Xenopus tropicalis: one gene and its partner. Each later gene encodes a partner of the first gene's protein in a complex. Links are inferred from orthologs where the notes say so. Each region holds a gene or a part of one and is shown in the gene's direction. Other genes may lie near its edges.

Evidence for each region.
Region 2: the proteins of btk (region 1) and birc2 are in contact, whole or in part, in a crystal structure (PDB 6W7O), measured with the Homo sapiens proteins. The link is inferred for Xenopus tropicalis from reciprocal best matches to the Homo sapiens genes BTK and BIRC2. Residues at the interface, in NP_000052.1 of Homo sapiens: Leu483, Asn484, Arg487, Glu488, Tyr551, Ser557, Lys558, Arg562, Lys595, Met596, Tyr598, Glu599, Arg600, Phe601, Thr602, Glu605; in NP_001157.1 of Homo sapiens: Pro280, Ser281, Ser282, Asn301, Asp302, Asp303, Arg314, Cys315, Glu317, Ser318.

The regions. Positions count from the first base shown.
Region 1 is NC_030684.2:37,635,564-37,639,941, forward strand, and holds the start of btk (tyrosine-protein kinase BTK), read left to right. Parts: upstream 1-1,475; 5' UTR 1,476-1,600; intron 1,601-2,364; exon of another isoform or gene 2,365-2,492; intron 2,493-2,590; 5' UTR 2,591-2,787; coding exon 2,788-2,934; intron 2,935-4,378. UniProt on the Homo sapiens protein: Non-receptor tyrosine kinase indispensable for B lymphocyte development, differentiation and signaling. Binding of antigen to the B-cell antigen receptor (BCR) triggers signaling that ultimately leads to B-cell activation.
Region 2 is NC_030678.2:162,215,928-162,220,210, reverse strand, and holds the start of birc2 (baculoviral IAP repeat-containing protein 2), read left to right. Parts: upstream 1-1,262; 5' UTR 1,263-1,286; intron 1,287-1,615; exon of another isoform or gene 1,616-1,720; intron 1,721-4,283. UniProt on the Homo sapiens protein: Multi-functional protein which regulates not only caspases and apoptosis, but also modulates inflammatory signaling and immunity, mitogenic kinase signaling, and cell proliferation, as well as cell invasion and metastasis.

The DNA.
Region 1 (4,378 bases):
CGCCTTCCTGATCACTCCAAAGGGGTACATTTCACTACAGGTTGTATTTGTATAATTCATTAATTGCCCCTTGGTTGCATTGCAACACATTATACTTCCTTATCAAAGTAGTAACATTTAATTCTAAATACCACTTTTAAGAAAGCCTTAAGAAAGCATTGTGTTAATAAATGTGGTTCATCAGGAGCCCTTGATTTTGTCAAGGTGAACTTTTCCTTTAAATGTTGAAATTTGGTTGTAAACCTTTACAAATACCTGATTTAAATCTTTTGCATCATCCTACTCTGCTTTTTTTAGGTGGTCAAGTCCCTCCCAACTTTAGATTTCTTGTATCCTACAGTGAGTCCTGCTTATTCTAGCAAAAGTGTTAATTGACTCCTTGACTTTCCATCATTGATAAAGGCTTTCCCTTTTAATACTCTCACATTAACAATTATCTGCTTCTTCTTTTTACAATTTGTGCAAAAAAAAAATAGTTTATTATAAAAAGGTTTGGGCTTATGTATCGGCCACTCCCACCATTGACATATGCACAAGCAGTTATCAGTCGTTGCTATGTGCAGCAGCAGTCTATATCCTCTTGGTGATCCACTCAATGGCTCTTACCCAGGGGTGCAAGGTTAGAGGAAGGCCAGAGGAGCCCAACCAGGGAGGGTAGTAGGGGAGATCACGTGGTCATCTTATCATTATCTACAAAGGGATGCAGTATGTGGCAATGGGTTTAGAATTTCTAAACACTAAACAAATGGAAGCCAGCTGGGCTGGGGGTTTGAACTGTAGGTTGTGTAAATTCCAATTGATAACATAGTTACGAATATTTACTAGAACTCTTTAGAAACATAGGTTTTAAGGGTATTAGAGGTTTTCCTTATATTGTTTTTCTTCATTGGTCTTCCCGCTTCCAATGAAAAGCTTGATTCCTTTGAACCATTCGACTGCCAACAAGGTCAGTGCTATGTCTTTAGCAAGTAAAGTGTCATCCTGCCAAAGATTTAGTACATACCTTTCCGGATTTATGGTTATGCACAATGCACAATTAATCGGGCAAAAAAAAGGCTTAAATACTGGTCCCAGGGCAGGACTATTCATGTAGGTACCACAATTTCCTTCTTTTGTTTTAAAAATGGAAATTGGAGTTGGGTGTTTTTCTAGTAAGATAAAGACTATGTTGTTAATGTAATTGAAGCTAATTTCTACTGACCGATACAGTAATTAAGAGTAGTAAGAAGTGAATGTTGTGATTAGGGCATATGTACTGTGCCACACAGTATTTATTTGTCATCATGTTGTAATCATAATTAGCACAAACTAAGCCAGCTCCTGACACAGGAAACTAAAAAGAGGAACTGGGAGTCTTGTGAAAAAGTAAGAAAAGCATGCAGAGCTTCTCATTCTGCAGGGTCTGCCCTCCTTCTGCAAAGCATCTTAACATTGTCTGGCAGATGATCTGTATTCAGAGACCTACCCACTCTCATCTCACCACCCAGCACTTCTTCCTCCTAGCCAGAGAGTTATTCTGCGCAGTCCTTGCCTCTACCACACTGTTTGCTTTAGTCTTACTGAACTGAGTTTCCAAACCAGAACGTCCAGCATTTTTCATGTGAGTACTTGGTTTTACTATTAAACATTCAGATACTGAGTTAAATTCTACAGAATTAACTGAGGCAGCATTTATGAGGAAAAAGAAAAAGTTTTGGAGAACATGTTAAAAAAAGACCTTTAGAGACCTGCTCTATGTATGAGAGTGAAATAGTGATATCAAAGCAGTTATCACTGCTTGATATCTCCTAGGCAAGGCAGTCCCCTCAGTATGGGAACCACTGCCTCAGATTGAATGGGAGTGATAAAGACATGAAAGGTCTGCAAAGTTGAGCTGTGTTAGTGGAATTTTTTCAGTCTTGATCTTATGGCACATGTGGCATATTCTTGACTAGCATTGAATGGTTTCCATTAAGACGAATCACACCACACAACCACATTTGGGCACTTCACCAGCTGCGAATATGCCACGTGATCCAAGAGCCATTCAGTGTACAAGTGTACAGTGTAATAGCTGCTGAGTCAGATAAAAAATGCCAAGAAACAGCAACTAAAAGGCAGAGTAGATGCTAATTAGGGGATAAGCTATGGATTGAGCTATGCCATGATAGAGCACTCGTGTTCTATAGGCCATGCTTAAAAATAATATGCCCAAGGATATAAGCTATTTTTTGCTGACTAATGGAGATATTACATATCGTTTATTTCTTTTTTTTGCCCCCTACTGTTTCTCTTTTTTTGCATATGAAGCAGAAAATGATAGAACTAGAAAGAAAATATACTGGCAGTATTTAACATTTGTGTGCATTTTTATTTGGAACATAGAAAGAAAACTTAGTTGGTGTGCTTCAGTAGAGAACATATGAGAAAGGATTTCTAGGCATACACTGAGCAGAATTAATGTATGATGTGGGAAGGAAAACATACTGGATGATATATGTGTAAAGCCTGGGGTGAGTGTGTAAAGAAAATATTATCAAATATTTGGGAGAAATTAGAGAACAATAACAGAATCTAAAAATGATTTCCACTTTGTCTACTCTTTTTCCAGTTTGCTCACAGACCACCTCCATCACTTTCACTGGTGAGAACATGGCTTCCAATGTTACAGCATGTGGGAAGGAGACTTATAAAAGTTATTCAAGTGTGGAAAACTAGATTTGATTCTGGCCAGGCAGAACCCCCACTCTGGTGTGCTGATACGGCTAGACCTTATAGCTCTAATCATATATAAGAAGAATACAAGATATGGCTGCCACTGCCAGTATATTAGAGAGTATTTTTTTGAAAAGATCCCAGCAGAAGCGAAAAACATCACCTCTTAACTTTAAGAAGAGACTATTTGTGCTAACAGACACCAAAATCATCTATTATGAGTATGACTTTGACAGAGGGGTGAGTATGCCAATAAGACTGGTAGAGATGAAAGAGTTATCAATAATGTATATCCTTCCCATATTAAACTGCCTATACACTGTTATTAGGAATGTAACAGGGTGGCCTCAGTCTTGCTCTGCAGAACACCTATTTATTGTTGATATTAGTAACATTATACTAATTAAATGGAAAGTGTAACCAAATAGTTAAAGGAACAGTAACACCAAAAAATGAAAGTGTTTTCAAGTAATTAAAATATAATGTACTGTTGCCCTGCGCTGGTAAAACTGGTAAGTTTGCAACAGAAACGCTACTATAGTTTATATAAATGAGCTGCTATGTCAACACGGGGGCAGCCATTGAAGCTGGGAAAAAGGAGAAAAGGCACAGGCACATCGCAGATAACAGATAAGCTTTGTAGAATATAATGGGGTTTTATCTGTTATCTGCTAAGTAACCTGTGCCTTTTCTCCTGTAAATGGCTGCCCCCGTGGCTACACAGAAGCTTTACTTATATAAACTATAGTAGTCTTTCTAAGGAAAACACACCAGTTGTACCAGTGCAGGGCAGCATTATATTATATAGTAATTACTTTTATACACTTTCATTTTTTGGTGTTACTGTCCCTTTAAGTCCCCTCCCTTTCTCTCACAGAACAGTAATCCAATGCTATATTAAGGCCAAGATTCTAGATATCTTTATAAAAGGTCATTCAGAAGCCTTTAAGAGCTATGATTAATTAAGAGGGTGACATGGTATTTTATTTATTAAATCTAAATATACTCATAACCTACCAAAAAACTTCCCAGCACTCAAATGTGCATAAAATCTAACAGTGATTCTTAAAAAGTTGATTATAGATTGCCTTGAATCTGTTATTGGTATTCTGTGGTAGAATTCAATAAAGCTGTCCACACAGGACAAGGAGCAGAACATCTGACCTATTTCTGCACAGGACAATCAGCTGGATAATAGTGCAGCAACACGTGGAATGCAAAATTGGACTGATCTTACAGTTTGGCCTATAACACCAGCCAAAAGACCACTCAGCAAAGGTGTTGGAATTAGGGACCTTTGCAGTTCTGGACCAACTCATAACACATTACGGGTCTGTTACGACTGCAAGTACCCAATAAATTGGCCACAGTCAATTGCAGAAAAAATCCCATTTGTTAAAGGTGCTTCCATCAAAAGGGGCTGCTTGCACTTCTGTATAGTTGCTATTGGCACTGCTGCCTACTTCCTGTTCCAAATTAAGTGCAAATTCATCTATTAATGCACTATTAATGCAAAATCCTGAAGCTACTGCCACCTTCGAATGTGGTGATTACTACAGGGCAGTGGCCCCCTGTATAATATCTTCGGAGGGGCCTTGTTTCAACCCAGCCCTTCCTTTACCCACCTGCTGAATCAATTGTGCCCACCTATTCCCTGCCAGCTCAAGCTGGTGTAGATAGGTGC
Region 2 (4,283 bases), on another chromosome or scaffold:
CTATTATTATCTTAATAACCCCGTTTGTATTATTCTACTGTACAGCTCTGCGTACATAAGTAGCGCTTTATAAATTAAGATATACATACATACATTTTTGGGCTACTTTCAAAGTGGCTTTTGGCTAGTTTTGGGCTAGTTTTAGAACTGACTTTGGCTAGTTTGGAAAAATCTGGCTACCCTGCAGTACAGCCTTTCTTTTTCTCCCTCATAAATTTAAATGGAGTACTAATTGTAAGCTCTTTTGGGCAGGGCTCTCTTCCCCTCCTGTATCGGTTATTGATTGCTTTATATGTTACTCTGTATGCCCAATGTATGAAATGCAGTAATTCCTTGTAGAGTGTAAGCTCTTTTGGGCAGGGCTCTCTTCACCTCTTGTATCGGTTATTGATTGCTTTATATGTTACTCTGTATGCCCAATGTATGAAATGCAGTAATTCCTTGTAGAGTGTAAGCTCTTTTGGGCAGGGCTCTCTTCCCCTCTTGTATCGGTTACTGATTGCTTTATATGTTACTCTGTATGTCAATGTATGAAATGCAGTAATTCCTTGTAGAGTGTAAGCTCTTTGGGCAGGGCTCCCTTCCCTCCTGTTATCGGTTAACTGATTGCTTTATATGTTACTCTTGTATGTCCAATGTAATGAAATGCAGTAATTCCTTGTAGAGTGTAAGCTCTTTTGGGCAGGGCTCCCTTTCCCCTCTGTATCGGTACTGATTGCTTTATAATGTTACTTCTGTATGGCCCAACATGTATGAAATGCAGTAATTCCTTGTAGAGTGAAGCTCTTTTGGGGAGAGGCTCTCTTCCCCTGACCTGGTATCCGGTTACTGATTGCTTTATATGTTACTCTGTATGTCCAATGTATGAAACCCACTTATTGTACAGCGCTGCGGGATATGTTGGCGCTTTATAAATAAATGTTAATAATAATAATAATCAGCCATTCTGGTAAATAATTACATAGTTTTTCCCCTGTGTAAATCCCAGCTTGCACACGCCATGAGTTAGGAAACTCCCCGGACTGGAATGAAAGCCAAAGAATGACACTAGTTCCACAAATGACAGCTTCCCACGCTTGGAAAGTCCCCGGATAGATTACAATGAATAACCTTTATCATACGAGAAACGAATCGTCATGAATGTATAAAGAAATTCATGCATAGGATATTCTAAATAAATTGGTCAAAACTATTTTTAATTCGTATTAAACATTACCACGTCATATACAATTACACGTACTGCGCAAGCGCAGATCTAGTTTAGCCGGCGCCATGGTACAGTCGAGGTAAGGGAGCGCTGCGGCTGTGTTTCTCTGTGTAGCTTGTGATTCCCGCGTTTTATATCGCTACGGTGGATTTTTATTGACGATTAAGCGGAAGAATGCGGCGGTGGCAGGAAAACGAGAAAAAAAAATCGGACGCAAAGGCATAGAGAGAAAATGGTCGCGGCGTTCCCTGTTGGAGTAAGCTTACTTTAGGGAAGCGATACCAGTTGTGCTCCGCAACCGGGCATACCCGGGTGCAAGTAATTTCTTTGGGCACAGGTTTAAATGGACAGGACGTATTGGCATGCGTCACGCCCCGCCCCCGCTCACAAGGTTTTCTATAAATTGTTTGTGCGACACAGTTTCTCCCTCAGAAAGTAAGAGAGCTCTGTCTCCAGCCCGTCGCCCTCCCTCCCATCAGCACAGGGTGTGGGCGCTGCTGAAATAGTTGTTACGTAAGTAATTTCCTTGCTCCCTTCTGTGATTGGGCAGCTTGCGGGTTCCCCGCCCCTTCTGTGATAGGCAGCTTGCGGTTTTCCCCGCCCCCTTCTGTGATAGGCAGTTATGAACAATGCAGCCTGAGTCTATTGGCGGATTGGTTGTGGGAGCGATGTCAATCTTTTTTTCGCTTGTAATGGCTTTTGCTGTACCGGACGATGTTACGAAGTTACGATGGAGGCTGCTAATGAAAGAATTGTTAGCATGATATAACCGTGTGGCATTGTTTGTACAGTAGCTTCTAGCGATACGTGGCAGCTTGGCCCCTGCTCCACATGAAGGCTGTGTGTAGCGACCCCCTTGCCTCTGTGTGTGGCTGCCCCAAGGGTGACTAAACGGAATGTCTAGTTATTTTAACTACTCTTTGTGCTTTTTCTTTTTTTAACCAATAGATATTTTTGTAATACAGCTCTCTGGTTTAAAAAGAATGCTTGTTGCTATGGCTTTGTTAGGTTGGCAACCAGACTATGGTACTTATGAGGGAATAAAGGCAGAAGGTGCTAAAGAAAATCTAGCCTTGGGATTGATCTCCTTTTCTACCAATAAAAGAGGAATAATTGGAAGTTGTCTCACAGTATGGATAATACCAAATGGATTAATGCTATAATGTAATTGTATAGCTTATTTCCCCTTTAAACATCCAGCTCAGCTCATGTTCCTGAATGGTACCTCACAAGCAGTCATCTAATGGATTTCTGTCACCATAAGATCATACAAATGGTTACTTGTAATAGAATGACCTATTAGCAGCTTTTTTTTTTAATTATTTGCCATTCTTTTTCTGCTTATTTCAGGAAAGCCAAAGAACATACGCTCTGTGAGGCTAAAGTTCTAAGGTTGCTTTGTATTATACTTTTTTAAATTCAGCCCCTGTCCTATTAATCTTCCAGTCTGGCTTTCAAACCACTGCCTGGTTGCTAGGCTAAACTGAAACACTAGCTGGTTTCTAAAGTAAATTGGAACACTTACTGCTCAGCACCCAGATGGCTGCCTCAATTCTACACTGAAAAAAAACAAAATGAAGCCTAATTGCAAATTGTTTCTAAATACCACTGTCTACATCTAAAGCTGGCCATACACGCACCGATAATATCGTATGAAACCTTGTTTCGTACGATATTCGGTGCGTGTATGGCATGTTGGCGAGCTGAATGGTGTGTGGCGGATCTGGCGATGTTTCGTGCGACCGATGGTTGCATGAAAGATCGTCAGATCGCCACGTGTGTGGCCACCTTAAAGGAACAGTAACACCAAAAAATTTATATATTTTAAAGAAATTAAACTATAATGTACTGCTGCCCTGCACTGGTAAAAGTTTTATGTTTGCTTCAGAAACATTACTAGAGTTTATATAAACCCTGGTGTGTAGCCATGGGGGCAGCCATTCAAAAGAAGAAAAGGCACAGGTTATACAGCAGCTAACAGATAAACCCTGTAGAATACAATGGTGTCTTATCTGTTATCTGCTATGTAACCTGTGCCTTTTTTCCAGCTTGAATGCTGCCCCCATGGCTACACAGCAGCTTATTTATATAAACTATAGTAGTGTTCCTGAAGCAAACACACCAGTTTTACCAGTGCAGGGCCACAGCACATTATATTTCCATTACTTTAAAACACTTTTATTTTTTGGTGTTACTGTTCCTTTAAGGGTGAAGACACACAGAGCTACTAGAAGCAGCTACTTGTCAGACAATGCTGATCATTTACTGATAATTGTCTTTTTTTTAAAAGGTGTTTATTTTTCATTTTAAGAACAATACAACATATACAGACATTAGCTACAAACAATGTAGCTGTTAACTTTTGCAGTCAAATTAGCAAGGTACAGTACAAAGAATTGTTGTTGTTTTATTGTTTCAGCTGTTATAGGATCATATACATTTACCATAGCTTACTATCGGTCTGGATTCAATCATTTCTGTTAGATGGTAGTTATGTTTTAGATTGCGGGTCATCGCTACCCATTCTGCTATTGTGGGTGCAATAGGACTCATCCATTTCATGATAAGTAATTTTTTTGCGTAGAACAGTGTTGCCCTCATTAAGTTTCTGGGTTGATTTTGTGGAACTAGCTCGTCTATCAGACCTAGGAGGCATACTTCTGGGGTCCTGACTCTAGGTAGGATTAGTTGTTCGTTGAGATATTGTATGATTCCAGACCAGTAGTTAGCTATGTGGATGCAGTCCCATACCATATGGATAAATCCTGCGTTGACATTGTGACATTTAGGACATTCTGCATTTGGTGATCTGCCCATAGCTTTAAGTCTGGTTGGGGTGATATATACTTGGTGGTAGAATTTGAATTGTATAACTCTATCTCTAGTGGCTATGAGAAAATCGTATATGTGGTCCGTTGCTTCTTCCCATTGCTCCTCGTTTAGTTGTGGGAGTATCTGGTTCCATTTCATTTTAGCTTTATCAAATGGGGAGGGTGTTACTTTCAGTATAACTTTGTACAGTTGGGAGAGGAGTTTCTTCCCTCCCGGATCCCAGAGTCTTATTTCCCATGGGGTT